Oryzias latipes: one gene and its partners. The protein of the gene in region 1 binds, or shares a complex with, the protein of each later gene. Links are inferred from orthologs where the notes say so. Each region holds a gene or a part of one and is shown in the gene's direction. Other genes may lie near its edges. The genes, in order: nsmce4a, nsmce1, nsmce2, smc5 and non-structural maintenance of chromosomes element 3 homolog.

Region 1 (6,450 bases):
TCCTGAAGAAGACGACCCATAAAGGCTTGAGCTCAGCTTTGGTCGCCATGTGGTTTTATGGATCAGATCAAACAAATCCTGGAACACTTTTATTCTTCGGATCGTGAGATCCAAACGTTTGCTGGTGTCCAGCTTGATAAAAGCTGAGGGAATGTTGGAGCCGAAATCTGATCCTCTATAGTTTTATGCGGCTTATGGAGGCAGCAAGCTGGGCCTCCAGAACCATCCGATCAAAGGTTCGAGTGTCCCTCTGCTGCCGCACGCGCTCCCTCATGTGAAAGGAGGCGCGGGCCAGCCTCTGCGCCTCCTCCTGGATCTGCTCTCTCTGCCTCTGCAGCCTCTCCCGCTTCCGCTCCTTCTCGGAGACGAGGTTCTCTCTGGCCTTGGTGACGGCCTGCTCCTCCTCCTGGATCTGGTCCCGGATCCTCCGGTGGCGGGCCTGTCTGTGGTCGTTGTGCTGGCGGACCTGCTGAGCTCTGCTCCTCTGCAGAGAGGAGGCGTGCAGAGCGGCGTTCTCCACGCGCCTCTGGCTCAGCTGCACCAGCATCTGCCGGTGCGTGAGCCGCTGGAGGCTCTGCAGCTCCGCCCTCAGCTGCACTCTTTGGATCTGCTCCTCTTCCCGGACGCTGCGCTCCTGCAGCTCCCTCCTCTGAGCCTCCGCAACTTGAGCCCGTTTCTCTGAGAAGTGTTGGAACTTTCTCTCAAGTGCGCTCCTCACCTGAGCCTCCTCTTCCTCCATCTTCTGCTCCACTTGTTTTTTCAGCAGGATGTGTCGGAGCTGCTCCCTGCGATTCTCCTCCTGCAACCTCCTCCGTTCCCTCTGTTCCTGCTGCACTTTGCTTTTCCGGGCTCTCCCTTCTTTCTTTACGGCAACCTGTCTTTCCTTCTCTCGTTCCTTCTCCTCCTTCTCCTCCTCCTTTCTCAGTTGCCTCTCCTGGTGACGCTTGCGCACCTCTGCCTCCTTCTGTGCAGCCTCTATCTTCTCTCTGCGTTTTGCATCCACCTCCTCTTTCAGCCTCCTCCAGCGGTCCTCTTGCAGCAGCACCTCCTGCTCCAGCTGTCCTGCCTCCTTCTGCTCCTGTCGCTCCCTCCGCCTCCTGCGGGCCTCCAGCTCATGGTGCCAACACTTGAGTCTGTGCTTCAGCTTCTTTCTCCGCTGTCTTTCTGCCTGCTCCTGCAGGAACTCTGCCTGTTTCCGGGCCTCCTCACGCTTTTGCTCCTCTTGCTGAGAGAGTCTCAGACGCTCCTGTTGCTCCTCATGCTTCACCAGCATCAGGGCGGCTATCTTTTGGTCCCTTTCTGACACTGTGACGCACATCTTCTTTTGGATTTCAGTGGCGAGCGTCTTAATTCTCATCTCAGTGGATGGGGAGTGTCTGAGATCTCCCAGGCTGAAGCTGGTGCCTGTGCCCCTGTCTGGGTCTCTCCTCTCAGCAACAGAGGAGGTGGACCTGCAGGAGGTCTTGCCTTTGAAGCACAGCTCTGCATATGGAACAGGTCCTGCCATCTGGAGCTCATCTGATGAAGAACGGTTCCGTCCTGGACCAGGTTTCTCCTCTGAGCGGCAGGCTGCGTCATCAGCGCGCCACGCCTCATCTGTCCCGTCCTCGCGCTTCTTCTGCAAAAGTTTAGATCTTTCTTTTCCATAAGACTCGTGCAGAACCGTCATCGTCTCGAAAGGCACCGCAGACCGCCTCTGCCCCGCGCTTAAATCGTTCAGAGATTTAATTAGAAGCTGAACCGGTTTGAGACCGGCGCATGGGTCGCGCGAGCTCGACGGAACGAGGCTGCCCTTCTCCGCTCTATCCGACCCAAAGTTCTTCAAAGAGAGAGATCCAGAACCGAACCCAAACCCAGCCATCGAAGAGCCTCGGCGGTTCCTGCGCACAACTCAATCAGTGCGGCGCTTGCGGGTCAGGAGGGGATTATCTGCGCGTCACGTGGTTCACTGTCGATTAAACCTCACCTGTCTGTCGGATAGTTTGAATGACCGTCTGAGACCGTTTGGTCCAGTTTCTCACTTACCAAAATCCAATGAAAAGGCCCCACTTCACCAATTAAAAATGATGCTTTGTTTATACGTTTTATATTTGTCTATATGTAACAATTTAAACTGATTTAAGTTTTGACAGGAGCACGTATAAATTAATTTCAAAATAAAATGCCAAAGAAGATCCTCTTGTGGACCAAATTTGTTATGTGAAACACTGCCAGAAGAATACAGCCTTAAAATAAATAGATACATTAACAATTGAAGCAGTTTGTCAGTGAGGAGTGTACGAAATACCTTTTGAATTTTTCAGTTTAAACACAATTTATATGCATGTTTGAATATGTTTCGATTAAAAGTTCATGATTATTTTTAAAGTTTTAAGATGTAACAATTAGGGTTTCCCTCAAGTTTTTTATGCAACTTTTTATTTATCTATTTACCTACTTCATGTCTACTTTTTGTCAGAAGGTCTACATCTACTGCAGAAATAGCTTTTTTAAGTTCAGTTTGGGGATTAACTTAAATCGTTACTTATTATTATTATTATTATGTTTTACAACAGTATTTGCAACTGTTGCAAATCCCCAAGATGCTAAAGGACAAGATAATGCGTCGTTTTAACTTCCGGTTTTGTGTCAACGGGGACTCTTAAGATGATTTTCACTCAACGTTGACATTAGAAATTTAAATACATCTATAAATCAGTAGTGAATGGGATAAATGTATATTAAATTCCCAAAATTTAAAATTAATATATTTTGTAGAGGCTTTAGTTCATCTCTTTAGTTTTAACCTTTTGTTTTCCGCTTGGTGTTGGCGCTTGGTTTCAGCTTCCTGTTTGTCCCGGAAGTCTCAACCCGGAACCTTTGTCAGTGGCGTAGGCATGTCGGTGTGTGTTTTTAAGCTACTTTTTGAACAGTTTATTCAATTCTTCGTAAACTTGAGAAACATGCCAAAGATCTGTTTACGTGACAAGTGAACGGTTAGTTCTCTACAGTATCGGTTTCTGAAATTAGCTTCTCTGTAGAAAAGCGCGCGCGCGAATAAGTTAGTTCGCTCCATCCATGCTTGCCTCGTTAACAATAACATTAACATCCTGCAGTAATTGCAACGACAACAATCGTGTTTAGTTAGTCGAAAACTTAACAACTCTTCGAGGAGTGTGGAGTTGATTAGGCAAAACTTTTGTAAACAGTTTTAGGTTTATCTGCCTTTCGCGGCAGTTTCTTTCACGTTTTTTCCCGGTGTCCGTTGCGTTGCGATGAGGAAGAGCAGAAGAAACGAGGAAGCTCCGCGGCAGAATGGCTCAGCAGACTTTGAGACCAACCCGGTCGGTCTGCAGGACGGACACGACGACAACGATACGGGCCGCAGGAGGGAGATCCGGAGCAAATACCGGGACCTCATCAACACCGTGCAGCGTCAGTACCAGCAGTTGTTTACTTGTTTACATTATTTACAAACAAGTCGTTCACGCCGCCCCTCACGTTGACCTTTTCCCCACAGAAAACAGGGAGGACATGCTGAGTCCATCCACGGATAAACTCACAGAGGTTTTGGAGGAGGCAAACAAGCTGTTCAAAGATGGTGGGTGTCATGGCAACCACTGAAAGTCTGTGATGGGGCGCACGCGCGCTCTCCTTTTTATTTTTTGCATCCAAAATAAGATGTTACAACGGTTTTCTTAAACAGAATGACCCAGATTTCAGTGAATAAAGTTTATATAAAGCTCCTCGCTTTTTGCAGCCAGAAAAAATATATTTATTCCGATTTATTAGGGGTGTAACGATTCATATTATAGTTTGTGGATGACCATAGGATTATAGTCGATATTGGTTCATTTTGAACGATCTGATTCACTGACCTACAATGGATCCAAGACAGCTTTAGCCAAAACTTCCATCAGTGGGACTCAGGGAGAAATGCTGGAAATAATGGCAAATCCATTCACATTTTAGTTTCCTACAGACTGTGGTTTTTCCACATCAAAATAAAAGATTATTCTAGCACGATATATGGTCACATGTCTTTGCTAAATTCAAATTGTTTCCACACTTAGGACTGGCTGTGATTGGTCATTTTTATGTTATGGTAAAATAAAACTACCATGTCTCAAGTCAAAGAGTATTTTCCAAAGTAATCAATTTATTTTATTTTGAAACGATTATGACGATTAAGAGCAATTCAATTAACAACCTACCTCACACAGATCGATCTGTCTGAATCGTAGTATGAATGATTCGTTGATTAAGTAGCTTGATTATTGCACCCCTATGGTGTAATAAAGTATTTATACACAGAGTGCTCACGTTCTCTAACCTGTCAGGTGAACCGCTCTGATTAACTTTTCTCTGACAGTCCGCAGAGCGAGAGAAGCTGCTCTCGATGCCCAGCTCCTCGTTGTGGCCACAGACTTGGGCAAAGAGAAAGCCAGCCAGCTGTTTTCAGAGGGGAGCGCCTTTGACCCCACTGCCTTTGCTGAGCATCTGGTGAGTGTGTTTGCTGTTCTGCACAGAGCTGCTGGGATGTCTGTTCCCCCGAATTTATGAAGGACCCCAGAAAAATTCATGTTTTATGGAGTTCATGTTAGAAACATTGATTGATTCAGTTCATGAATCAAGATCAAACCAAGATTATTTTATATATTATGTTTGAATGGTTGCTACATGTTTGTATTTTTATTGGATGAATGAAAATCAAAATATTATGTATTCAATCACCATCATTTACACGTTTTATTTAGAACAGGAGATCAACAGAACATCACTAACAAAAGCACAGATTTAGGAAGAAAGAAATGTTTTTTATCACTTTAAACAACATCACACACTCAACTTCCTGGTTGACTTCAGCAGGAAGCAAAACATAAACACAGAGGTCGTTTTGGAACAAACCCTGAAAATGTTCTCCACAGCTGAATGTTTAGCTGAAGACAGTCCCACTAGATCGATAGTAAATGAAGACGCAAACAACTAGAAAACACTCACAGTCCTTAAAGCGTAAAGACGAAAACAGAATTTCTTTTACACCGTCACATGACCTCCTTTTTGTATTATTCTTTATTTCATATTTATTATATATATTTTTTACTGTAATTTAATTTCCACATTCAATCAAAATCTGTTTTTCAGTACTTTTTTTTAATTTTTTTGTCCTCTATAAAAATACGAGATACTTTTACTTTGAAAATGAGAATCTTCACTGACACTTTATTTTGAAGATTTATTTACTTCTGGTGACAGTGGTGCATACGGCCTGTTTAGTCTATATTAAAAATACATTATTTTGCATTTTAGTTGCATTTAAGTATATATTTTGTTACTATACTATATAAAGATCGCAAATCTGCGATTTTAGACGTCAAAGATAAAAAAAATCAAAGTATTCGGATACTCGTTACAGCCCGAGTCCACGCTGCTAAGTAAGTTGTTCTGGCTGGTATGTTTTTATATTAAGCTAAGAGGAGACGAATAGAAAGAAATTAATTTCCTTATTGGTAAAAGATCCGCACATTTACTAAAGCATGTCTCCTCTTTTGTTTTTTTAGTCAAAAATATGTACGAGTAGAAAAACTGAAATAAAATCCATTTCTCTCTAAAAAGTATTGCTGAATAATCAGCAAAGAGTTGACTGGATGTTTCTCTGAATAATAATGAAACCTCCGTGGATCTATGAATGAACATGTTTGTGTTTTTCTCCAGCTGTCCTTCATGGGACTCAACCGACTGGAGGACGGAGACGGCGGTCCGCAGAATGCAGGCGCAGCCGACGGCTACCTGCCCAGAGACGCCTGGCACCGGCTGTCCAGACGAGTGGAGTGTTGTTTCCGGACGGCTCCGTCCTTCCACTACATGTGAGGGAGAGAGGGACGTTCCTCTGCTCAACATTCCACAGTCACACCACAAAATCTCAATATTCTGTATATTTGTCTGACATTTGTCAACCATTGGGACAAAAGACACGATGATGATAATCATCCAGCATGCAGATAGAGATCAGTTATTCTTAGAGAATACAGATTTAAACAGAGGCATGTGAATCCGTTACAAATGTTTGAATTATTTTAAATTGGTGTTTATGAACAATTGCTCGATTTTTCGGGCGGTAACGAGTATCTGAAAACTCAAACGATGACCGAGATCGCTGATTCGCTACCTTTATAAATATAGTAGAGAGTAATAAAAGTGCAGTGCAGTGTAATTTTCACTCAAAAATGCAGAGTAATGTTGGACAAACTAAACAAACCAAATGCATTGCTGTCAGCCGAAGTGTCAGTGAAGGTTCAGTGACAGTAAAAGTGGGTTTGTAGATGGAAAACAGGAGAGACAGAAGTTCAGTTTACTGATATAAGTACTAAAAAACTGATTTAAATATAGTTGGATGCCCCCCCCCCCCCCCCCCCCCCCCCCCCCCCCCCCCCCCCCAAAAAAGTAACAATTCACAGCCCTGGTTTGACT
Region 2 (6,334 bases), on another chromosome or scaffold:
GACTGGATGAAGGTGACGGACCACTGAAGACTGGATGACGGTGACGGACCACTGAGGACTGGATGAAGGTGACGGACCACTGATGACTGGATGAAGGTGACGGACCACTGAGGACTGGATGAAGGTGACGGACCACTGAAGACTGGATGAAGGTGACGGACCACTGAAGACTGGATGAAGGTGACGGACCACTGAAGACTGGATGAAGGTGACGGACCACTGAGGACTGGATGAAGGTGACGGACCACTGAAGACTGGATGAAGGTGACGGACCACTGAGGACTGGATGAAGGTGACGGACCACTGAGGACTGGATGAAGGTGACGGACCACTGAGGACTGGATGAAGGTGACGGACCACTGAAGACTGGATGAAGGTGACGGACCACTGAAGACTGGATGAAGGTGACGGACCACTGAAGACTAGATGAAGGTGACTGACCACTGAAGACTGGATGAAGGTGACGGACCACTGAAGACTGGATGAAGGTGACGGACCACTGAAGACTGGATGAAGGTGACGGACCACTGAAGACTGGATGAAGGTGACGGACCACTGAGGACTGGATGAAGGTGACGGACCACTGAGGACTGGATGAAGGTGACGGACCACTGAAGACTGGATGAAGGTGACGGACCACTGAGGACTGGATGAAGGTGACGGACCACTGAAGACTGGATGAAGGTGACGGACCACTGAGGACTGGATGAAGGTGACGGACCACTGAAGACTGGATGAAGGTGACGGACCACTGAAGACTGGATGAAGGTGACGGACCACTGAAGACTAGATGAAGGTGACTGACCACTGAAGACTGGATGAAGGTGACGGACCACTGAAGACTAGATGAAGGTGACTGACCACTGAAGACTGGATGAAGGTGACGGACCACTGAAGACTGGATGAAGGTGACGGACCACTGAAGACTGGATGAAGGTGACGGACCACTGAAGACTGGATGAAGGTGACGGACCACTGAAGACTGGATGAAGGTGACGGACCACTGAGGACTGGATGAAGGTGACGGACCACTGAAGACTGGATGAAGGTGACGGACCACTGAAGACTGGATGAAGGTGAGGGACCACTGAGGACTGGATGAAGGTGACGGACCATTAAAGACTGGATGAAGGTGACGGACCATTAAAGACTGGATGAAGGTGACGGACCACTGAAGACTGGATGAAGGTGACGGACCACTGAAGACTGGATGACGGTGACGGACCACTGAGGACTGGATGAAGGTGACGGACCACTGAAGACTGGATGAAGGTGACGGACCACTGAAGACTGGATGACGGTGACGGACCACTGAGGACTGGATGAAGGTGACGGACCACTGAAGACTGGATGAAGGTGACGGACCACTGAAGACTGGATGAAGGTGACGGACCACTGAAGACTGGATGAAGGTGACGGACCACTGAAGACTGGATGAAGGTGACGGACCACTGAGGACTGGATGAAGGTGACGGACCACTGAGGACTGGATGAAGGTGACGGATCACTGAAGACTGGATGAAGGTGACGGACCACTGAAGACTAGATGAAGGTGACGGACCACTGAAGACTGGATGAAGGTGACGGACCACTGAAGACTGGATGAAGGTGACGGACCACTGAGGACTGGATGAAGGTGACGGACCACTGAGGACTGGATGAAGGTGACGGATCACTGAAGACTGGATGAAGGTGACGGACCACTGAAGACTGGATGAAGGTGACGGACCACTGAAGACTGGATGAAGGTGACGGACCACTGAGGACTGGATGAAGGTGACGGACCACTGAAGACTGGATGAAGGTGACGGACCACTGAAGACTGGATGAAGGTGACGGACCACTGAGGACTGGATGAAGGTGACGGACCACTGAGGACTGGATGAAGGTGACGGACCACTGAAGACTGGATGAAGGTGACGGACCACTGAGGACTGGATGAAGGTGACGGACCACTGAAGACTGGATGAAGGTGAGGGACCACTGAAGACTGGATGAAGGTGACGGACCACTGAAGACTGGATGAAGGTGACGGACCACTGAAGACTGGATGAAGGTGACGGACCACTGAAGACTGGATGAAGGTGACGGACCACTGAGGACTGGATGAAGGTGACGGACCACTGAGGACTGGATGAAGGTGACGGACCACTGAGGACTGGATGAAGGTGACGGACCACTGAGGACTGGATGAAGGTGACGGACCACTGAGGACTGGATGAAGGTGACGGACCACTGAAGACTGGATGAAGGTGACGGACCACTGAAGACTGGTTAATGCCACATTCACTCTACAATAGAAAATGAGTGCATGCAGGCAGGACTAGAGCATTTACTTGGACTATTAATATGTATAGCAGGAAATTAGGTTACTGGTATAAGTTATGTAAATAAACAGGTTTTTTTTCATAATAAAATGTTGAGATATAAAGAGAAAATAGTTTTATTTACAATACTATTTTAGACTACTCAAACTTAGTCTTAATAATTCTTCAGTTAATGTATTTTCTGTGTTTTAAATTGTTTATTTTGTACAGTATTTTAAAAAATAATATTTCTATAACTATAGCTAGTATTGTAACAACCCAGATGGTAAGTCACTATAGCCAAGCTGCTTATTAAGTGGCTACATGAGAGAGCTGACCATGTCCCACACACCACACAACCCTGGATAGTTTCAGAGGGGAAGAAAGAGGCTAAGAAGATAAACCCCTAACCCCCAGGTCGCTACAGTATTTATATAAATTATGTATTAATTTTTCTAATAAATTGTTTGTTCATTTAGTGATTATGGTGTTTCTCGTTTTTTCTTGAGCTGTCGGTGAATTTGTGTGTGAAAACAATGTGATCTGCTGTTCTCTTCCCTGACGGCAGGTGGCAGTAATCAATAGCAATAACTCTCTGAAAGGCGGGAAGAAGAAGAACCGACACGGAAGTGCCTCGTGCTGGAGCGGGAAAGGTAAACATCTGTAAACTCTTGTGGATGTATGTTTTTCTGTGTAAATATTGTCAAATGAAGCGAATAGAAAGCAGAAAAGTCGCTCTGCACATTATTTAACAGAGATTAATTACATTTGATTTCAAACCACAAACCCAATAAGTTAGTTAACGGGTTTCCAAACTGCTAAACACATCCCAGTTTTTTTTTATCTTTGACATTTTGCGAGTTTATGCTGTTTGTGAAACCATATTTTACATTTGTATTTAAATAATGGTGATAACATTCAACTCTCGTGCCTTTTTTGTCATGCAAGCGTCTAGCAGTAGCTTTAAAACACTTTCAGAACATTGACATAGAGAACAAAGAGTAAATCCGTTTAACAACGACTTAGGTTACAAAAGTAAAAAACAACAAAAATTAACTTTAGGTTATTCTTTTAAGCTGAGACAAAGGTTTTTTGTTGCAACTGGGACAAATATTGTTTAATGTCTGGTATATATGAGTAATTAATTCAAACATTTTTTATTAAACTTCAGGCTGGTATTTCCTTCAACACATCCAGCTAATAATCACATTGAGCATAGACAGACACGTGTAGATACAATATTTTATTTCAGATGTATGCTATAAGGAAAAATAGATAGGAAAAGAAAGATGAATGTTTGAAGAGGATTGAGAACAAGTAAAACACTTATAAGTGTCACCCCCCCTAAATACTGCACCCACTACCTATGATAGCCCAGGGGGGTATTCCAGAAAGCAGGTTATGCTAGCTCACACAGTAATGTTGTCTCATATTGTCTCATGTTGTCTCATATTGTCTCATGTTGTCTCATATTGTCTCATATTGTCTCATGTTGTCTCATGTTGTCTCGAGTTGTCTCGTGTTGTCTCATATTGTCTCATATTGTCTCATGTTGTCTCATATTGTCTCATGTTGTCTCATGTTGTCTCATATTGTCTCATATTGTCTCGTGTTGTCTCATGTTGTCTGATGTTGTCTCATGTTGTCTCGTGTTGTCTCATGTTGTCTGATGTTGTCTCATGTTGTCTCATGTTGTCTGATGTTGTCTCATGTTGTCTCGTGTTGTCTCGTGTTGTCTCATATTGTCTCGTGTTGTCTCATATTGTCTCATGTTGTCTCATATTGTCTCATATTGTCTCGTGTTGTCTCGTGTTGTCTCATATTGTCTCGTGTTGTCTCATATTGTCTCATGTTGTCTCATATTGTCTCATATTGTCTCGTGTTGTCTCGTGTTGTCTCGTGTTGTCTCATATTGTCTCATATTGTCTCATGTTGTCTCATATTGTCTCATATTGTCTCGTGTTGTCTCATGTTGTCTGATGTTGTCTCATGTTGTCTCATGTTGTCTGATGTTGTCTCATGTTGTCTCGTGTTGTCTCGTGTTGTCTCATATTGTCTCGTGTTGTCTCATATTGTCTCATATTGTCTCATGTTGTCTCATATTGTCTCATATTGTCTCGTGTTGTCTCGTGTTGTCTCATGTTGTCTCGTGTTGTCTCATGTTGTCTCATATTGTCTCATGTTGTCTGATGTTGTCTCATGTTGTCTCATGTTGTCTGATGTTGTCTGATGTTGTCTCGTGTTGTCTCGTGTTGTCTCATATTGTCTCGTGTTGTCTCATATTGTCTCATATTGTCTCATGTTGTCTCATATTGTCTCATATTGTCTCGTGTTGTCTCATGTTGTCTGATGTTGTCTCATGTTGTCTCGTGTTGTCTCGTGTTGTCTCATATTGTCTCGTGTTGTCTCATATTGTCTCATGTTGTCTCATATTGTCTCATATTGTCTCGTGTTGTCTCGTGTTGTCTCATGTTGTCTCGTGTTGTCTCATGTTGTCTGATGTTGTCTCATGTTGTCTCGTGTTGTCTCATGTTGTCTCATATTGTCTCATATTGTCTCATGTTGTCTGATGTTGTCTGATGTTGTCTGATGTTGTCTCATGTTGTCTCGTGTTGTCTCGTGTTGTCTCATATTGTCTCATGTTGTCTCGTGTTGTCTCGAGTTGTCTCATGTTGTCTCATGTTGTCTCATGTTGTCTCATGTTGTCTCGAGTTGTCTCGTGTTGTCTCGTGTTGTCTCGTGTTGTCTCATATTGTCTCGTGTTGTCTCATATTGTCTCATGTTGTCTCATGTTGTCTCATGTTGTCTCGTGTTGTCTCGTATTGTCTCGTGTTGTCTCATATTGTCTCGTGTTGTCTCATGTTGTCTCATGTTGTCTCGTGTTGTCTCATATTGTCTCGAGTTGTCTCATATTGTCTCATATTGTCTCGTGTTGTCTCGTGTTGTCTCATATTGTCTCGTGTTGTCTCATATTGTCTCATGTTGTCTCATATTGTCTCATATTGTCTCGTGTTGTCTCGTGTTGTCTCGTGTTGTCTCGTGTTGTCTCATATTGTCTCATATTGTCTCATGTTGTCTCATATTGTCTCATATTGTCTCGTGTTGTCTCATGTTGTCTGATGTTGTCTCATGTTGTCTCATGTTGTCTGATGTTGTCTCATGTTGTCTCGTGTTGTCTCGTGTTGTCTCATATTGTCTCGTGTTGTCTCATATTGTCTCATGTTGTCTCATATTGTCTCATATTGTCTCGTGTTGTCTCGTGTTGTCTCATGTTGTCTCGTGTTGTCTCATGTTGTCTCATATTGTCTCATGTTGTCTCATGTTGTCTGATGTTGTCTGATGTTGTCTCGTGTTGTCTCGTGTTGTCTGATGTTGTCTCGTGTTGTCTCGTGTTGTCTCATATTGTCTCGTGTTGTCTCATATTGTCTCATATTGTCTCATGTTGTCTCATATTGTCTCATATTGTCTCGTGTTGTCTCATGTTGTCTCATGTTGTCTCATGTTGTCTGATGTTGTCTCATGTTGTCTCGTGTTGTCTCGTGTTGTCTCATATTGTCTCGTGTTGTCTCATATTGTCTCATGTTGTCTCATATTGTCTCATATTGTCTCGTGTTGTCTCGTGTTGTCTCATGTTGTCTCGTGTTGTCTCATGTTGTCTGATGTTGTCTCATGTTGTCTCGTGTTGTCTCGTGTTGTCTCATATTGTCTCATATTGTCTCATGTTGTCTGATGTTGTCTGATGTTGTCTGATGTTGTCTCATGTTGTCTCGAGTTGTCTCGTGTTGTCTCATATTGTCTCGTGTTGTCTCATATTGTCTCATGTTGTCTCGTGTTGTCTCATATTGTCTCGTGTTGTCTCATATTGTCTCATGTTGTCTCATGTTGTCTCATGTTGTCTCATATTGTCTCGTGTTGTCTCGTATTGTCTCGTGTTGTCTCATATTGTCTCGTGTTGTCTCATGTTGTCTCATGTTGTCTCGTGTTGTCTCATATTGTCTCGAGTTGTCTCGTGTTGTCTCATGTTGTCT
Region 3 (6,399 bases), on another chromosome or scaffold:
GAGCATCCTGAAGGACAAAGCCTTGGTGGAAGTCTTCAAAACTGTGCTGGCTGCAGTCAACCCAGTCCAAGGCATCGTCGGTAAATTCTTGTTCTCATTCATGAAAATGTATAGCCAAAGTCATGTATTGGTATTAATCATTTGATTGTGTATTTTGGCTATATAGCCAATGCCAGCAAAGCGTACACGAGTGCTGTGGCCAAATCCCAGAAGATCTGGGGTCCATACCTGGAGGCCATCATGAAGGTAAATCAAAACATTTATGATTTTATTTTTCGATATATCTGCTCACGTCATGAAAATGATGTTCCATCCCTTTGTTGTAGGTCGGTCAGATGCAGATTCTCAGACAGCAGATTGCCAATGAGCTTAACTTCTCCTGCAAGTTTGACTCCAAACACCTGGCAGCTGCCCTGGAAAACCTCAACAAGTAAGTGTTGTGTTTTCTGCCAAATTCAGGCTCTTTTTATGCAGTTTTGTATGGAAAATATGTACCTAGAGATGTAGTTCACGAGGTGTTTCTCACTTTTTTTTTTTTTTAGAATACATTCATTTCTAACAACTGATAACATTTGTTACTATAGCATATTGTGTTTTTGTGAGCTTAAGGCTACATTTTGCCACCTGTTGTGATCTCTTCTTCTTGTTAGGTCTCTTCTGGCAGACATAGAAGCACACTACCAGGATCCATCTCTCCCTTATCCTAAAGAAGAAAACACTCTATTGTATGAGATCACTGCCTACCTAGAAGCTGCTGGAATTCATAACCCGCTCAGCAAGGTTTGCAAGGTTTTATTTTATTTTAATTAGCCTGTTAAAAATGCCACATTTCACCAGTAAACAATGTTTATTTCTTTTTGGTTCAAACAGATTTACATCACCACAAAGCGTCTTCCTTACTTCCCCATCATCAACCTCCTGTTTATCATTGCTCAGCTGCCTAAACTTCAGTACAACAAAAATCAAGGTGCGTTTCACTTCTCGCTATCTTAGCTTGATGGATTGGAATCTGTGAATTTCTGTGGTGACTTTTTCTGTGTACACGCCAAGTTAAGGATTTTCTCTGTGTAAAAGGAATGACCTGCAAGAAAGCAACCGATCCTGTCGACTGGCCCCCACTAGTGCTGGGTCTGCTCACCCTGCTCAAGCAGTTCCACTCCAGATACACACAGCACTTCCTTGCTCTGCTTGGACAGTTCATCCGCTCTGTTATGGAGCAGTGCACAAGGTAACTAAAAGTTTAACATTTTGATCAAACCCATTGTTTGCAGTTTTCTTAAATTTGTCTTTTACTGGTGTCACAGCCAGAAAATCCCTGAAATGCCCTCTGATGTTGTGGGGGCCCTGATGTTCCTTGAAGACTATGTAAAATACACAAAACTGTCACGCAAGGTAAGAAAACAGTTACTTTAGAGGTGGTTTATTTTAAAGGTATCTGGAAGAAAAAGAATTGCTATGTCATGCTAAGACAGCTTGTTTTTACAAACTTGAAGGATTGTTAACATGCATTTCTTTTTATTATCTATCTGTTTTAAGGTGGTTGAAGCTCATGTACCCAGTTTCATTTTTGACGAATTCAGAACTATTTTGTGAGCCCCCGGACAAGGACATCAAACTGAAGATGCAGTCTTTGTTTGTACTGTACTTTTCTTTGTTTATATTAGTCTTGATCTAGTGGCAAAGATTTTTGTGGTAGAAGCAACAATCATTTTGCTCTAATTAATTGTTCAGAAATTAGGATGTGCTTTTTTTCCCCCCATATACATTTCATGCCCAGCCTTATAATCTGTTTCTGCAATGTTATAACAAAATGTGTTTTGTTAAAAATACATTTTTATTTCAACCAGAAAAGGCCACAATGTCAAATGTAAAAAAGCTTCAAGAAGTAGTTCATATTTCATTTTCTAGAACAATAAAGTTTTGTATTAATAAACTGTACATTTAATGCTCAATCAAAAACATTTCCATACTAATATTTTGTGGTATTGTTTATCAATAAATACAGTATAATTCTTTACTGCTCGTTGTTTTCTTTATGAATTTATTTGATGGCTTTTAGTTTGAAGAAACAAACGGAAGTGAAACTGTAACTTCCGTTCATCTCAAATGTTTACTACTTTTCTTCCTTTTCCTTCTTATTTTTTTGTTATCGTTTGATCTTTGGTTGTACTTTGAATTAAGAATAGTTACTTATCTTTTTTGTTTTTTTTTCTATTTTGAGATACATTGGCATATCTCATCTTTTCGCAAGACGGCGCGAGTATAAGGCTAGCAGTTAGCTAGCTAGCCGTTAACATAAGGAAGATATCAATAACGGTGAACACACAGTGATTTTTCTTTGGACTTTAGGGATAAAAGTTACGAACACAATGTCTCTGAGTGCTGTCAACGGCGCATTGTCCAATTTAAAATCGTGTTTGGCAGACATTGCGACGGGGATGGACATCGTGACGGACGTTGCCATAGATGTGGTGGAATCTCAGGGTAAACATTCGGAGCCTGCATCATTTTCTGCAAACGTGATCAGAAATGGGTTTTATTCTTCTAGGATCAGTTAGTATAGTGAAGCAGTCCAAGAACATGGTGTTTTATCGCAATTATGCTAAACATGTGACCAAGCTCCATTCAGCGTGCACTTATATTTTGTAATAATTGAGTTTATATTTGTGTATATTTTTTACATTTCAGATGAAGAGATGAACTCTTCCATCAAAGAGCTGGAGACCATGATCCTGGACTGTGCCAAGCTGGACAGGGAGATTAACATCTTTGTAGACATCGCAAAAGAAGTTACATCCGAGGTAACTATTATGATGAGGATCAGGTTTAAAAACAATAATTCATTTAGGTCATTTACTGCAGCGTTATCTGTCCCTATTTTTGCTTGTTTGTGCTTTGATTAGATCCGTGTTTGTAAAGCGCAGACTCATTTTTATAAGTCTAAAAAGAAATGATCTAATATGCCTCACTTTGGTGCAGGTGAATGCACAGCAACCAGAGGCCTTGTTCGGCCTTTCTGACAAAGTGAAGGAGCAGTTCTCAGAGAGAATAGCCCGACTTTCTGATGATGAAATCCACAGCCATCAGAAAGTGGCTGCCTTTAAGGACAGCATCGGGAACGCTTCAAAACAAAGTAAGGCTGTTGAATTTTTTTTTATATCTCTATAAAATAATTTCACTGATTTCTGAGGCATTGTTTGAAAGCGCATCTTACTTTTTTTATTTATTTTTTTATTTTTTAGTAATGTGGTATGTTGAATTTGAGAAGATTGTTGGTTTAATATTGTATTGTAATTAGGTAAGTGGCCACCAGAGGGCAAGCCTACAAGTTTCATTGAGTTGTAGCGCCGTGTGGTGACAGACGAAGAAGTCAGGAACCATGGTGGACAGCATCCACTGTTCAGAAAGGTTCTGTTATGCAAATGAAAAACTGTTGCACCCAGTTCAATGTGTGGGACCTTCATTTTTATATGAAGATGCAACATCTTTTTGGTGAAGAGGATTTTTAAGGAGGAGAAAAGCCCATAGACCTTAGAAAAAGAGAGAGAAAGAAAAGAAGAAAGAAGCAGCAGAAAGATACGTGGTTAACCTCCCACAGAAGTGAAGCATGGCAACAATTGGCACGCCAGCAGCGTTTGATCCAAAGACTCAAACTTGGGTTAAGTATACAGAAATACTTGAACAGTTTTTTGCGGCCAATGAAATAGACAATCAAGACAGACAAAAGGCAATGTTGATAAGTGTAGTTGGAGCACCGACCTACAGTTTATGCGAACCTCCTCAGCCCAGACAAGCCAAAAGACAAGTCCTTCAATGAGCTTGTATTACTGATGAAGAACCATTATGACCTAAAACCATTTATTCGGTGAAATCAGCTACTTCACAAATCACCATTGAAAAATTGCGACAGAGTTTCAGTGTGTTTGGTCCTCCAAAGATGTTGGTATCAGACAATGGGACATGCTTCACAAGTGCAGAATTCGAGACATTTATGAAACAAAGTGCAATAGACCATGTAAAATCCACACCTTTCCACCCATCATTTTTATATTAAGATGCAACAAGTATAAACTGCATAATTTTCCAATTTATTGACTCAAAACATTTTTCAAAATCTGTGTTTATCTTACTAGCTGCGTTTATATGGACAAAAGTAATTGGAAAGAACACCTGATCGGAAGAAAAATGTGTCATGTAAACACGCCGTTCGGAATACTCTGCCCCGATCAGACTTGTTCTGATCAAAATTTCTTTCCAATCGAGATAGGTGGGTTATGCCGATTGTTGATCGGATCGAGTGAACCGTGTCTCTGAGCAGAGAAGCCAGACTTATAGCTTTGTGTTTGAGGGGAGGAGAGGGTGCTTTGTAACGTGTGTGCTATGAGTGGGAGGCTTTGGACTGCAGCTCTAGGTGAACGAGCTGCTAAACTCAGGAGAGCCGGGTCTCCCAGTAGAACTGTGTCTTCGAGCAGAGCACACAGCGGCTTTGGGGCGGTGTGTGCTTAAAGCAGAAATGTCGCTCAGTCCTTAGAAACCGTTCAAACAATCACGTGGATTTGTGTTTCCATTCGTGTCCCGACAAAATAAAGGCTGATGTTATTCCCACATATTTACATGTAGCCAAGATGCAGATTGCGGCGTTTCCCCCATGGATTTTATGTTCATCCAAGGCTAAATGTTGTTAGCGCATGTTAGCCTTCTACTCCTAACGCTAACGTCTTCCGGGTCCGTTCTCCCAGAAAAAAAAGAGCTGACCACAAAGATTAAAAATAAATAATGAGCAAGCAGGCGCTTCATAATAATCATAACAATAATAAAAGCACGTTTAGAAGATCATCTGGCGCATGTAAACATTTATTATAATCGGAAAAAGTTTTTCTGGGCCCATGTACACGGTTGAATTCGAATCCGATCAAAACATTTTGTACATGTAACCGCGGCTAATGTTTGTGTCTATTTTTCTGAAGACATCAATAAAGGTTGCATATTGAAATAAATGTTTAAAAATAGCAATAATTTGCATTCATTTGCATAATCCTTGAAGATAATTTCAGCCGGCAGCATTTACAGGCCACAATGAAGCCGAATTTGTTGTGAAAATGATCTATAAAATGAAAAAAAAAAAAAAGATTTATGTGTAGGTGGATGTCTTGAATGTCTCTGTTGCACACTTTTAAATGTAAGATTTTGTGGATGGAGGGTTTATTTATTTGGAAAGCAAAATATGTTGCTCTTTAGCTACATTCTGGCATTTACCTGCGTATTTTCCTGCCGACTTTTTAAGGGTTTTGTGCAACAAATGAAGGTTTACAAATGAGATGCTTGTGTTCTTAGCCAATCAGAAATCAGCAGAGAACACGGAGGAGTTTGATGAGGACATCGCCGTCACACAGAGCCAGGTCAATTTCACCTGCCCGCTCACACAGGTACATCGCTGACCCCCCCCCCCCCCACCACCACCTATTTTCTGACACACCTGTTTAACTTTTAACGTTAAGCTTTTTTTTTTTTTTTTTTTTTTTTTTTAAGGTGGAAATGTTAAAACCAGTCAAAAATAAAAAGTGCAACCACTACTATGATGAATCTGCCATCTTGGACCTGATCAAAACAAGACGCAACTTGAAGAAGAAGTGCCGGTACGAAACCCTAGTCTTTTGAGCTAATGAAACTTTATAAATCTAGTTCCATTTTGAGGATATGGTGATGTTCTCGATTACAAAGTTTGTGTTGGAGGGATTTAAGTGTTCCAAAGAAGAAACTGATATTTGTGCTTTGTTCCATTTCATTTAGATGTCCTGTGGTGGGCTGTGAAAACGCAGATGTGAAAGAGTCAGACCTCATTCTTGATCAGATACTGAGAAGAAGGATTCAGAACCAAAAGAAGAAAAACAGCAAAAATTAGCACTGCTTTACTGATAACCTATCTGTCCATGTTTTATTTTTTGGGGTGCAAATGTTCTATTTTTGTGCAAATATTTGTTCATTAAATCTGAATTTTTGGAACCTTTTGTCTTTTTTTTTTATCATGTTTGATATTTTGGTGATGCAATAATGTGGCTACACCACAAGAGGGCAGCGTTTCCACAAAGCCGTTTAGGGGCTTTTTCTACTATTTTAAATTAGTGTCAGGTGAAGATACTGTAATTAGTAAATACAGTAAAAAAAAAAATGAAACAATTGAGAGTTCCATCCTCCAGTTTTGCAGAAAAATATTTTTTTTGATGTAAAGATTATCCTGAAACTTCCAAGGTGACAAACAGTCTGTTCTTTCACCTCTGTGGAAATGCTCTTATGTGTTTAAACCTCGCTTTGCTTATTCACGCTGCTTATGAAGGGTCATTATTTCACAGAAAAACACAAACGAAGGCAGTGTTGAAGCTAATCTTTTAATAATCTTGC
Region 4 (6,394 bases), on another chromosome or scaffold:
AGCAAGTCATGAAAGAGTCATGTGTTTAGTTATGTGCAGGAATGAAACTTTTATGATTTACAAAATCTGTGTCTTTCATACATAATCATAATTCAGTTGCCACATGGTGATATTTCATGCATACAATATTGTAAAGCAAATACTGTTTGATTGCAAGATTAGTTCAATAAATAACAACTTTCATAAAAGAAATAGAACAGTAAAATGCTTGTGCTACTGCTAATATATCCACACATTCAGTCTGTCTGTGCTAAATGTGTGGATAAAAGAATTTATATGAAAAAATGTCAGGTTTTTCAATCAATTTCTGATTGCAAATGTCAGTAAACTAAAATTTCTTCTGTATTTTCCCTTTGTTTGTAAAGGAATGTGACCACAGAAACAATGCTAGCAAAGACTCCTCCATTTGTATAGTGATGGGAATTCTGCTTCCTCTTACAGAGAATGGTTCCGTCTGGCTTGGCTCACCTGAAACAGCAGACCTTTTCAGCTCCCAATCAGCTCTTCAGATTGTTTTGTTGCTTTAATTAATTTAATATGAACAATAATATAAAATTATACACAAAATGAATTGTTCTTGCTAAAAAAGTGTTTTTATTAAAATGTGCTTTATATGAACATGCTTTTGTTTGTTAACTGCTGATGTAAGAAATAAATTATAAAATAGAAAAAACTACACTCCTACTCAAAACTATCTAATGTTTGGACTTTTTCATTTTAAACAAATTTAAAGTGAAAAAACAGAAAACATAACAGCCACAACACAAAATATAAATTTAAATGTGCAAAACAAGAAAAACAAGATTTTAATCATTCATAGTGAAAGTTGGCATTTAAAATGCCTAAGTGTCTCAGTTTCAGTCAGTGATGATGTGCTCTGGTTTTAAGATTCTCTCAGTTCTCAGGTGCGGGTTGCATTTAGAGCCGGTTATAGATGGAATTCTTTTCTTGCTCTTGATTCTCCATGTTTTGCTTGCTTTCCTGTTGTCAGACTCATTACTACTCTCTCAACGGCAAAGCCACAAACACAGAATGAGTTATGTCTCTCTTTAAGAACGGGCATGTTCATAGGCTGCTCTGAATTCAAAACTGCTGCGAATGGTGGAGAAGTGATGAAATGGAGATTTATTTGGAAAGTCACCTGATCAAATGCAACTATTATTTATTATAGTATTTATTAAGTATAATAAATACCTCTCTAGAAACAAGTTATGTGCCACAGTCTTTTAAATATGTAGTTGTGAAACCTATTCTAAAAAAGCTCAATTTAGATCCCGGCAATCTGGCCTGCAATAGTCCAATATCAAATCTCCCCTTTATAATAAAGTAAAGAAGAAAAAAAATCTCCCCTTTGTTTCAAAAATCATAGAATGAGTGGTAGTTAAGCAGCTTTACCGCCACCTACAGGACAATAGTCAATTTGAAGATTTTCAGTCAGGGTTCAAACTACACCACAACACTGAAATTGCACTATATAGAGTCTCTAATGACTTATTATTGGCCTCAGAAAAGGAACTACTGTCTATTCTGGTCCTGTTAGACCTCAGTGCAGGCTTTGACACTATCAACCACAGTATTTTACTCCAAAGATTAGAGTATGACATAGAGATCAGAGGATTTGCCCTCCAGTGGTTTGAATCCTATTTATTCGATAGGGACCAGTTTGTTAATGTAAATGGACAGTCCTCTCATGGAACTCGAGTTAGCTACGGAGTCCCACAGGGCTCAGTTCTAGGACCCTTCCCCTTTATGCTTTATACGCTGCCCACTATTGATTGTCACTGTTATGCGGATCATACACAGTTGTATTTATTTGGAGGTAGAGCCTTTAGCCATCAAGCCCCTGTTCTATGGGATAAGCTCCCAGTTCATGTAAGAGAGGCCAACACAGTTTCTACATTCCAAGTTAGGCTTAAAACATTCCTCTTTATTTCCAGGCAAGTAATAGAGAATATTTATCTTATTATTAACATGTTTGAATTAAACTTAAAAACAACAACAATTAGTTGCTGGTGGGCTGCTCCAGATCCTGCACCACACACACTTCAAGACATAATCTGATCCCATTGCAACAACAAAAATAGTTGTCTTTTACAAATATCTTTTTAAAATTGTGTTTATTTATTAATTTAACAGGGTTAAATAAAAAATAAAAAAACAGTGCCCTTTTTTGGGGCTTGGAGGAGGTTGCACTAGTATAAAATTAATAACTGTGAGAGAGTTTGTTTAATGTAAACAGTTTAAATATGTACAGGTGTTTCTATTTAGTACAGAATGTTTCAAATACTGGTTACTTTATTTCTCAGTATAAAAGAGTAAAACATTTTTTTGGGGGGGGGTGGGGCACTGTTTAGAATCTTACGTCATCAAATGTGGACACACGTGACCTATCTTCACCAATCATCTTTCAGCTTTGCCTCGGGAAAGCGCGGCAGGGCAAACTGTTCTTCCCATCACTAGTATATCAGTGTCTGTTGACATGGCTGAGCCTAGTAAGAAGCAGCGGCTCAGCCACCATAACAACAGTTCACAGACTCCTTCCAAGGCCTTCTATAAGACCAGGGATGTCGATGAAGCTCATCCGTTTGTGGAGGGCTCCATTCTGCGCATCACCATGAAAAACTTCCTGTAAGTTCCACCTCCTTTTCACTAGTCACACTAGTTAAGCTAGCTATGCTAACGCCAAACTACCGTAAAAGCTTAGCCTCTACATTTGCTCTGACAAGCTGACATATGATATGTTTTACTGAAGCGTGTTTTGGTTTACCGATGTTGTAGAAGAGGAATAAAGTCAGTAAGCTGGGCTGTTTTTGCTCCGTTAACGTAGAACTCATCAGTTGTGTATGTTATGTATTTTAATTCTAAACGACTTCAACTTTAGAAAAATGAAAACTCTTTTGTCAGGTTCGGATATGATGTAGTCTACCAGTAATTGTTATTCTTACGTCTTTAAACTCAAATGTATTTTTTCGTCTTTTTTTAATTTACAAAATTTGGAAAATATTAAAAGCAAAGAGCCAATGTCACATTTGTGTCTGAGAGTTTGACAACCCAAAACTGAAAGTGCCAATTTAATGTCATCTGAATTATTTTCAGTGATGTTAACTGAAATCTTCCAACATCCTTAAATTGTCATAATATTCAATAAAGGGAAAAAAACATCACATGATTTGCAACAAGAATGACAGAATCTACAGAATAGATGAAAAGTGCATTAATATAGTGTAAAACACAGTTCTCTACACTTCATTGCATTTCTGCATCATCTTTGAACAGTATTAGAAAATGTGAGATTCAGTCTTCAGTAACATTCAGTGTACTAGTGTCAAGCATGAGTTTTACAGTTCCACAAACCACATAAACAGGTTTCTACGAGTACCTTTATGTATGTTTATTGTGTTAAAATCGCGTTGTGTGTCACTGTGCTTTAATCTTCTTCTCGTATCATTAATTTAATTGAATTGTTGAAAAACAGATAAAACCCGTAATGTTGATGTTTTTTGTTTGAAGAATTAAAGTGTGACTTTCCTGCATGTGGCTGGAAAATGACCGGTGTCTTCGCTGTACTTTGGCAGGACCTATGACTACTCTGTGGTGTGTCCTGGACCAAATCTGAACATGATTGTTGGTGCAAATGGAACTGGCAAGTCCAGCATTGTTTGTGCCATCTGTCTGGGCCTGGCTGGAAAGACCGCTGTTCTGGGGAGAGGAGATAAGGTAAATGTACTGTTGGGATTTATTTAGTTGAAGTGTGTTGATGAGATTCTCTATAAAAGATCAGAGTAACTGGTAGATTTTGACAGAAGCCTTAACCTTGAACAGTTCAGCAATGTTGCATCCCATGACTCACTTAAACTTTGGCCAAATATTTACTTGTTGTGAGGAAACTGATCATTCTAAACAGGACTGTAGATAAAAATAAGGTTAAGGTCGTACCCTTCAGTTTGCTGCACACAGAAACGAATGAATAATGACTCAGAGACAAAACTTATCTTTTGTGGAAGTTTTACTTCGTACAAACACGAAGGGGACAGACAGATGAATATAGTGCATTCAAAGTCTGAACACCGAAGCTCAGAGAGATGGTCTTGGTATAAGAACCCTGCATTTGCATATTCAGAAGATCATACACTGGACAGTGGTGTGAAAATCACGGCCACAGGTTGTTGCAGGCGAGATGCTCGAAGGTCAAGAAGCTTCAAGTGTCACAAACAGCACAAACACCAGCACACACAAAAAGGAAAAAGGGAGGATGAGGAATGCTATGAGAAAACAGTCTTGGTTGTGCTTTCTTCAAATGTAATATAATTTTGAGATGATAATACATGCTTAGTGACTTAAGTTTAAACCATTAGTGTAATAAAAGTTAAAGGCAGTTTCTAACTATTCTTCACACTTGTCCTTATCAATTAAATATGCTTCCAACTTATGTTTGTTATAGATTTTAAGTTCACTCAAATACAACAGGGACATTACAGAAATAAAACGAAATGGCACATAGACGTTTTTTACCCCTTATTTTGAGTTCAATGATACAAACAAAGCAAAAACATGTACCGGTAGGACAAACCTAAACCTATAAATCACTTAACAAACAAGGGGGTGTTGCAATGTTCAATACACAGAAAAGGACAAAAAGGGAAAAAAGGAGAGAAAAAAGCACAGAAATGTATACATTTTTGGAAAAAAGTTAGAATTGCTGCAAGGACTTTAAACAGGTTTGACTTCCTTTACCTTTTTTTCAGGTTGGGCTTTATGTGAAGCGTGGCTGCCATAAAGGGTCCATTGAGATTGAATTGTAAGTTATGTGAAATAATTTCCACAAAGTCACTCATTCTTTTAAAAACAGACATTTCAGCCACAGTTGTTTTATAGAAAAAGCTTACAGCTCCTTAACATTGGTGCCCTTAAACATACTTATTTTTTGTAACTGTCTCTGTTCTGTTGTTGAAGGTACAAAACAGGAGGTAACATAGTCATTAACAGGGAGATCCATGTGGAAAATAATCAGTCCCTTTGGATGCTGAATGGGAAACACTGCAACCAGAAAACGGTAGAAGAGGAGGTCAAGGCTCTGCAAATTCAAGTCGGCAACCTCTGCCAGTTTCTTCCTCAGGTATGTGTTTGTGAAAGTGCCAAGGGTTTAATAGACAGAAAACTGCTCAAGTTCCTTCATGTTGTGTTTTTCCCAACAGGAAAAAGTTGGTGAGTTTGCCAAAATGTCTAAGATCGAGTTGTTGGAGGCAACTGAGAAGTCTGTGGGACCCCCAGAGATGTACGAGTACCACTGTGAGCTCAAAAACTTCCGCAACAAGGAAAGAGAATTGGAGGTAATAGTTAAAGCTTTATGGTTTATTTTTTGTACTTTTGTTTTCTGGGTTTTGAGCAAAACTGTTTTCTGAGGGTTTCGTCGGTTTTTGAGATTCTAATATTTCATTGTAGAATGTTGTAAAGGAGAAGGCAAACTTCTTGGAGAAGGCCAAACAACGAAATGAGAGGTACAAGCATGATGTCAACCGTTATTATGAAAAGAAGAGACATCTGGATGTCATTGAGCTTCTGGAGAAGAAGAAACCATGGGTTGTAAGTGTGTCACTTTGGTTTAACAAGAAGGAGACAAACAAACAAACAAACAAACGGGGCATCTTTCCTGTTTCTGTTTCCTCCTGGCAACAGGAGTACGAGACTACCCGTAAGGAACTTGAGGGTGTCAGAAGGGAGCGAGAGGAGACCAAAAGACAGCTTTCTGCCCTACGACAGGCCCAAACTCCCATGCTAAGAAAAATTCAGGACATTGATGACCAGCTGAAGCCCACTGAGGCACAGATGAAGACCAAGGTAGAGAGACGGTGCTGCATTCTGCTCAAGACATACAGAAGCTGACATGTATTTATGAGATGTTGTCAACTGTTGTCCTAACACACAGCAGGTCAGGGAAAGTATTTGAAAGTCAGCGATTCTGCAAAGTGTCCCATTTAAAAAGGTGAGAGAGGTCTGTAATGTTTACCACAGTCAGTCTCTCTGGGATCTCACCATGCTGTGATTGCACCAAATAGGGCTGCAGGGTATGAGAAAATCTGTGATGTACGTTATTAGTGATCAATATTCCAATGACGAATGACTTGCGATACAGAACAAATCCTGCAACGTCATTTCCATTTCATTTCATCAGTTTTATTGAAATAAAAGTCAATATAACTAAAATTTTACTCCAAATGACCCTCGTCTACATAAGAACCAGGCATCTCACATTATAACAGTTGACCAATTCGATTGGTCAACTGTTATAATGGATCCGTTTCCCACAGAAAGTAAAACACAGGGAGCTGCAGCATTTGTTTTTAGAAATCCCAGTGTTTCCAGTGAATGGCATCATTTCACTCATTGTTAAAGT
Region 5 (4,643 bases), on another chromosome or scaffold:
AGAAAGGGGCAGGGAGCTTGTGGCCCCCTGATTGTAGTTTGTATGAGACAACCACAGTATTGTTTTTTTCTGCTTCACCACAATTCCATTAAAGAATTACGCAGAGACACATTTTTAGACTTAACTTTCTTTCTATATGTCCTCCATCAAGAGAGAACTGCTACAAGAACATGTTAAATACACCAAAAGCATCATTTTCATTGGAGTGGGTCTTTAACTTCCCATTGACTAAAGTAGGAGAAGGTCTCCAAACACTAGGTCTTCCTCAAATTCATCAGACTAGTAAAATCGTGTCAGCTGCAGGAAATGAACCCAGAACACGACAGAGGACAACATGGAGTCAACAGGAAGCTGAAGTTCAGTGTGTTGGTGGTTGTTAACATTGATTTCTCTCAGCGGCTGGAACGGTCCTTCAAAGATAGAAACGAGTGTAAAAGAAAACATGCTGAAAAGTAACAGACATGTCTTGGGATCCAGGCTGAAGGAGTCCCAGACGGTCGGGATCTGTGCCTTCAACTTCAATCACAAGAAATGAATTACATACAGTACATAGATGCTTACATTTCAAATGTGAACATTGTCTTTAAACCTGTTTGAAACATTCTGTAATGTTGAAGTTGAACACCCGTTAGGGTATCAAATGTTTGTTGAAGCTTAGAGCAGCAGACTGTTGTCACGCCTCTTCATGGAGGACCAACCTTTCATCTAAGTTCCACCTCCCTATTTGAAGGGGCGGAGCAGCAGCAAAGCATTTTGGTAAACTTTCCATGAGAGTTAAAGCTTCACTTCACGATGTAACTGGTGATGAAGACATGTACTATATTACCAAAAGTACTGGCTCCCCCGTCCAAATGATCAGAATCAGGTGTCCTAATCACTTGCCCTGAACACAGGTGTATCAAATCAGGCCCTCATGCATGCAGACTGTTTGTGCTAACGTTTGTGAAAGAACGGGCTGCTCCCAGGAGCTTCATGTTAGCCCAAGTCCAGCACGCAGAGAGCTTCATGGAAGGGGTTTCCATGGCCGAGCAGCTGCATCCAAGCCAACGTCACCGAGTGCAAAGCAAAGCGTCGGACGCAGTGGTGGAAAGCACGCCGCCACTGCATCTAGAGCAGTGGATAGGGAGTTTGAACATGCGACAGCTGCAGAGGTGACTCACTGCCTGCTAATGTCTTCTCAGACCTTGTGAAACACGTGGTGAAGGACTACAGAAACATCTATCCTGAGATCATAAAGCGAGCAGCTCGGACCTTTGAGCAGGTTTGTTCTACCTGACTGCATTCTTGTCTTCATTTATTGTCTCAGTAGATCACATTTGTGAGGTTCTTCTTTTTTTAACTCTTGCTCAGGTGTTTGGTTTGAAACTGGTTGAAATTGACCCCAAAAATCACACATATATATTGATCAATAACCTGGAAGCCGCTGACAAACCTTCACCAGTCGAGTGAGTATCGTGTCATTTTGAGAAACGCTCATTTGAATGGTCCATAAATGAGGTTTATTGTTGTTTTTCTGTGTGTGTAGATGCCCTGCAAATCCCAAACTTGGTCTACTTTTCGTGATTCTGGGTGTTACTTTCATGAAGGGAGGTGTCGTCAGAGAAAGTGAGTTTAACAGGTTTTAACTATAGTTTTGTTCCTTATTCAGTCAATTCCATTAACTGTTTTAGTTCTGTTTGTTTTGCTCAGTAAAGACATTAAAGTTTACTCCTCTTGGTTCTTAGATGTCATCTGGAACACACTAAAGAAACTGCGAGTTGACTCTGGGTGAGACCATGTTTTTGTGCCTTTAGCGATGGTTTAAAAACCTTCCATAGGTTTCACTGCCTTCCTCCTTTTCTGCATGTCTGCTGATGAAAACCTCAGAGAGAAGCACGAAGAGTTTGGAGACGTGAAGAGACTCGTCACAGAGGAGTTTGTGCGTCAAAGGTAAGAACCAGCGTAGCAGTAGAACATTCTTTTACGATCAATCAAATAAAACAAGAAATATGAATTAGGCTCTGCATTATTACTGACTCACACAGGTACGATGGCTTTTTCTAGCAGCTTAGCAAACCTGTGCTAGCTGAAGGCAGGCCTGAACCAAAGAAAGATTTTCGTTATCGCGGTATCAGCCTGTGCGATATGCGTATCGCCAAAGACGGCATAAACTGAGATAAATGGTTACCTTAGAAGTTTACACACATGCAAAAACAATCTCATGGCAGAGTGAAGTAGCTAACGAATCAACTTAACCCTTGTGCTATCCAATGGGGTCCAGATGACCCCACCCTTACATTATCATCGTTGCAATAATGATCACTCCAATCACACTCTGAAATTTTCCTCCTGTTGTGCAGCCCTGGCTGCTGGCGTCCTGTGGATAAATGTTGCTTACATTATGAGGTTACGTAGCTTCAAACACAGAAGTTGTGTATTTGTATAAACCCCTCTTGTGCATGAGGCTAGACTTGATGTACGTTGCATTTTTCATGCATTTCTTTTTGAACCAGATTGAAGAGAGAAGACGGCGAAAGAGTGGGACGTTCCACATTATACTCTTTCAGCTTGGAGGACTTCTGTTTTGTTTTTTGACTGTTTTACTTCTTCACTCATTTGTTTTCGTCTGTTTGAAACGCCTCTCTGTGAGCTTGAATCCCACTGGTGTGTTCAGAGCCAGTTTCTCTCAAACCATAGACTCTGGTTTATACCACACCACAGAGCAATTGAAGGTGAAGCCGCCAGCCCCCCAGCAGCACGGCTGGAGCAGTGCACGCTTCAGACATCGACCTTTGACGGTTCGGTCCAGTCTGACCCCAAGTACTCTGTATTTTAGTGACGCTCCTTCCAGACTGTCCTACGCTGTTGACCTGCATTGTTCCAGCTCTGTCTCCTCTAATTCCTTTGTAAGCCCGGAGGGATGACCGTGGGAATGCTGGATGTCTGCAGGTATCTGGAGTATGTGCGGATTCCTCACACTGAGCCCATGGAGCATGAATTCCGCTGGGGTCAGCGGGCGGACATGGAGGTGTCCAAAGCCAAGATTCTGGAGTTCATGGGCCAGGTGAGTGGCTTGTTGGTGACCACGGTTCTGCTTTGTGGTGCTTTCTTCTCAGATGTAGACTAGTGGACTCTGAACTGACGATGCTTTGCTGTTTGCCCTCAGCTTCATGAGCAGGAGCCTCAGAGCTGGACTCAGCTGTACAGAGAGGCTCAGGCCAGCAGCAGCAGCCAGAGATGACTGCCATCGCAATGCTTTTATTTATTTTGGAAGCGGTCTGTGCCTTTTTCTATTGCATTATTGTTATGAATGCCAGGTTTCTCTGTATCTTTTCATACATTTTATTAAAAAAAATAAATCTGTTCAAGCTATGTGACAGCCTGTCACGGTCTGCTGGTTTTTCATGCGTGTACGAGAGCACATAGCCGTTACTGCTGCAGAAATCTGTTAGTTTGAAAAAGCTCCTAAGTCTTCATTTGGCAGGTTTGTGTTGTGCTGCTGAGTCAGCTTCCAGGTTTAACAGCACGCCAAAACCCTGTATAGTAATAAAATGGAAGCCTTTGAGTTCATCTAATGCTACTTTGTTTTTGAAGTTCTCAGCAGGTGATATGGGAATGAACCCACTTGCTAGTCCAGTTTGTCATCTGGATTAATGATTTAACAGTAAATTGGACATAAAACAGAACTTGCGTATCAATTGACCTGATAAACGAGCAGCAGACTGCAGCTGCAGCTCCAGCATGTTTCAGTCTATGGTGATGAGCCTGAAGCGGATGAGAACTTCCTGTGTTTTTCTGATGGTGAAAGCTGGATGCAGTCAGTCTGAGAGCTGCAAGTGACAACAGTCTTCCATCTGCACAAAGGTTTGTGTGGGGAAAATGCTGTTTTTAATGCTGGTCCAGTGGTCTCAAAGATGCAGGAAAGCCTGTTTCCTTTGAGATGGGAACACATTCGTCAGGATGATGCATTTGTGGGAGGAGCAGCTGAAGTCAGATTGCAGAAACCGACTAGCGGGTAAAGTGTCTTTATTTCAATAAACTGGATCCCCAGCTCGGTCTGGCTGCTGCTCCTGGTCACATGCTGCAGTGAAGATGGCGTTCCACTCCAGACTCTCCACAAATCACTCAACATATGGTTGTCATGGTCACTGGTACAAACGGCAACAGCCTTCCTGTCTGCTAATCTGCAGAAGACAACCTGTGCATTTGTACTTATTGAGTCTTCCTGTGAGGAAGAAAGGATCCAGTTTTGAAAATGGGAGCACCTCGCATTTAGGTCTGTGTGCTGTGGAGATGGCAGCCGGAGCCCAGAAGCTCCACTGGACCAACTTCAGGGTCAAATTTCTTTGTGTAGAGAAGTAAAAGATGCGATTTTTAGGACCAGAAAAGAACTTCTCAGCAGAAATCATAAAATGCCCATAATGGTTAAATTCCACTGGGTAAGTATTTCTGACAGCATTAAGATGAAAGGAAACGGCTTGAATGTAAAACTCCTGGGAAGCAGAGTGGCAGAGCTGCGTCCTCTACATGTGGTCTGGAACCGTCTCCAGGGCCTCCTCTGGGTCTCTGTCCACGTCCACATTCTGACAGACAGGAAGAGGACGGATCCTTATTAGAAAGTTGTTTACATTCATTTATGTCCACACAGGAATATTGATTCTGCT

The links.
Region 2: nsmce4a (region 1) and nsmce1 share a complex: the UniProt entries of both Homo sapiens proteins name them as parts of the SMC5-SMC6 complex. The link is inferred for Oryzias latipes from reciprocal best matches to the Homo sapiens genes NSMCE4A and NSMCE1.
Region 3: nsmce4a (region 1) and nsmce2 share a complex: the UniProt entries of both Homo sapiens proteins name them as parts of the SMC5-SMC6 complex. The link is inferred for Oryzias latipes from reciprocal best matches to the Homo sapiens genes NSMCE4A and NSMCE2.
Region 4: nsmce4a (region 1) and smc5 share a complex: the UniProt entries of both Homo sapiens proteins name them as parts of the SMC5-SMC6 complex. The link is inferred for Oryzias latipes from reciprocal best matches to the Homo sapiens genes NSMCE4A and SMC5.
Region 5: nsmce4a (region 1) and non-structural maintenance of chromosomes element 3 homolog share a complex: the UniProt entries of both Homo sapiens proteins name them as parts of the SMC5-SMC6 complex. The link is inferred for Oryzias latipes from reciprocal best matches to the Homo sapiens genes NSMCE4A and NSMCE3.

What each region holds. Positions count from the first base shown.
Region 1 is NC_019873.2:26,869,750-26,876,199, reverse strand, and holds the start of nsmce4a (non-structural maintenance of chromosomes element 4 homolog A), read left to right. Parts: upstream 1-2,602; 5' UTR 2,603-3,254; coding exon 3,255-3,414; intron 3,415-3,499; coding exon 3,500-3,580; intron 3,581-4,351; coding exon 4,352-4,482; intron 4,483-5,694; coding exon 5,695-5,846; intron 5,847-6,450. Other genes in the region: coiled-coil domain-containing protein 177-like, read right to left, coding at 176-1,861. UniProt on the Homo sapiens protein: Component of the SMC5-SMC6 complex, a complex involved in DNA double-strand breaks by homologous recombination. The complex may promote sister chromatid homologous recombination by recruiting the SMC1-SMC3 cohesin complex to double-strand breaks.
Region 2 is NC_019859.2:37,084,102-37,090,435, reverse strand, and holds the start of nsmce1 (non-structural maintenance of chromosomes element 1 homolog), read left to right. Parts: upstream 1-2,848; 5' UTR 2,849-2,959; intron 2,960-6,334. UniProt on the Homo sapiens protein: RING-type zinc finger-containing E3 ubiquitin ligase that assembles with melanoma antigen protein (MAGE) to catalyze the direct transfer of ubiquitin from E2 ubiquitin-conjugating enzyme to a specific substrate.
Region 3 is NC_019874.2:13,947,613-13,954,011, forward strand, and holds the start of nsmce2 (E3 SUMO-protein ligase NSE2), read left to right. Parts: upstream 1-2,073; 5' UTR 2,074-2,369; coding exon 2,370-2,484; intron 2,485-2,688; coding exon 2,689-2,801; intron 2,802-2,979; coding exon 2,980-3,133; intron 3,134-5,334; coding exon 5,335-5,426; intron 5,427-5,529; coding exon 5,530-5,636; intron 5,637-5,790; coding exon 5,791-5,902; 3' UTR 5,903-6,399. Other genes in the region: washc5 (WASH complex subunit 5), read left to right, coding at 1-80, 167-246, 327-430, 651-780, 871-967, 1,075-1,228, 1,305-1,392, 1,537-1,593. UniProt on the Homo sapiens protein: E3 SUMO-protein ligase component of the SMC5-SMC6 complex, a complex involved in DNA double-strand break repair by homologous recombination. Is not be required for the stability of the complex.
Region 4 is NC_019865.2:11,200,392-11,206,785, reverse strand, and holds the start of smc5 (structural maintenance of chromosomes protein 5), read left to right. Parts: upstream 1-2,425; 5' UTR 2,426-2,479; coding exon 2,480-2,628; intron 2,629-3,575; coding exon 3,576-3,717; intron 3,718-4,745; coding exon 4,746-4,798; intron 4,799-4,953; coding exon 4,954-5,116; intron 5,117-5,195; coding exon 5,196-5,330; intron 5,331-5,442; coding exon 5,443-5,583; intron 5,584-5,676; coding exon 5,677-5,838; intron 5,839-6,394. UniProt on the Homo sapiens protein: Core component of the SMC5-SMC6 complex, a complex involved in repair of DNA double-strand breaks by homologous recombination.
Region 5 is NC_019865.2:30,990,383-30,995,025, reverse strand, and holds the end of non-structural maintenance of chromosomes element 3 homolog, read left to right. Parts: intron 1-1,181; coding exon 1,182-1,261; intron 1,262-1,350; coding exon 1,351-1,445; intron 1,446-1,525; coding exon 1,526-1,605; intron 1,606-1,724; coding exon 1,725-1,767; intron 1,768-1,866; coding exon 1,867-1,929; intron 1,930-2,928; coding exon 2,929-3,043; intron 3,044-3,145; coding exon 3,146-3,220; 3' UTR 3,221-3,361; downstream 3,362-4,643. Other genes in the region: 6-phosphofructo-2-kinase/fructose-2,6-bisphosphatase, read right to left, coding at 4,503-4,562. UniProt on the Homo sapiens protein: Component of the SMC5-SMC6 complex, a complex involved in repair of DNA double-strand breaks by homologous recombination. The complex may promote sister chromatid homologous recombination by recruiting the SMC1-SMC3 cohesin complex to double-strand breaks.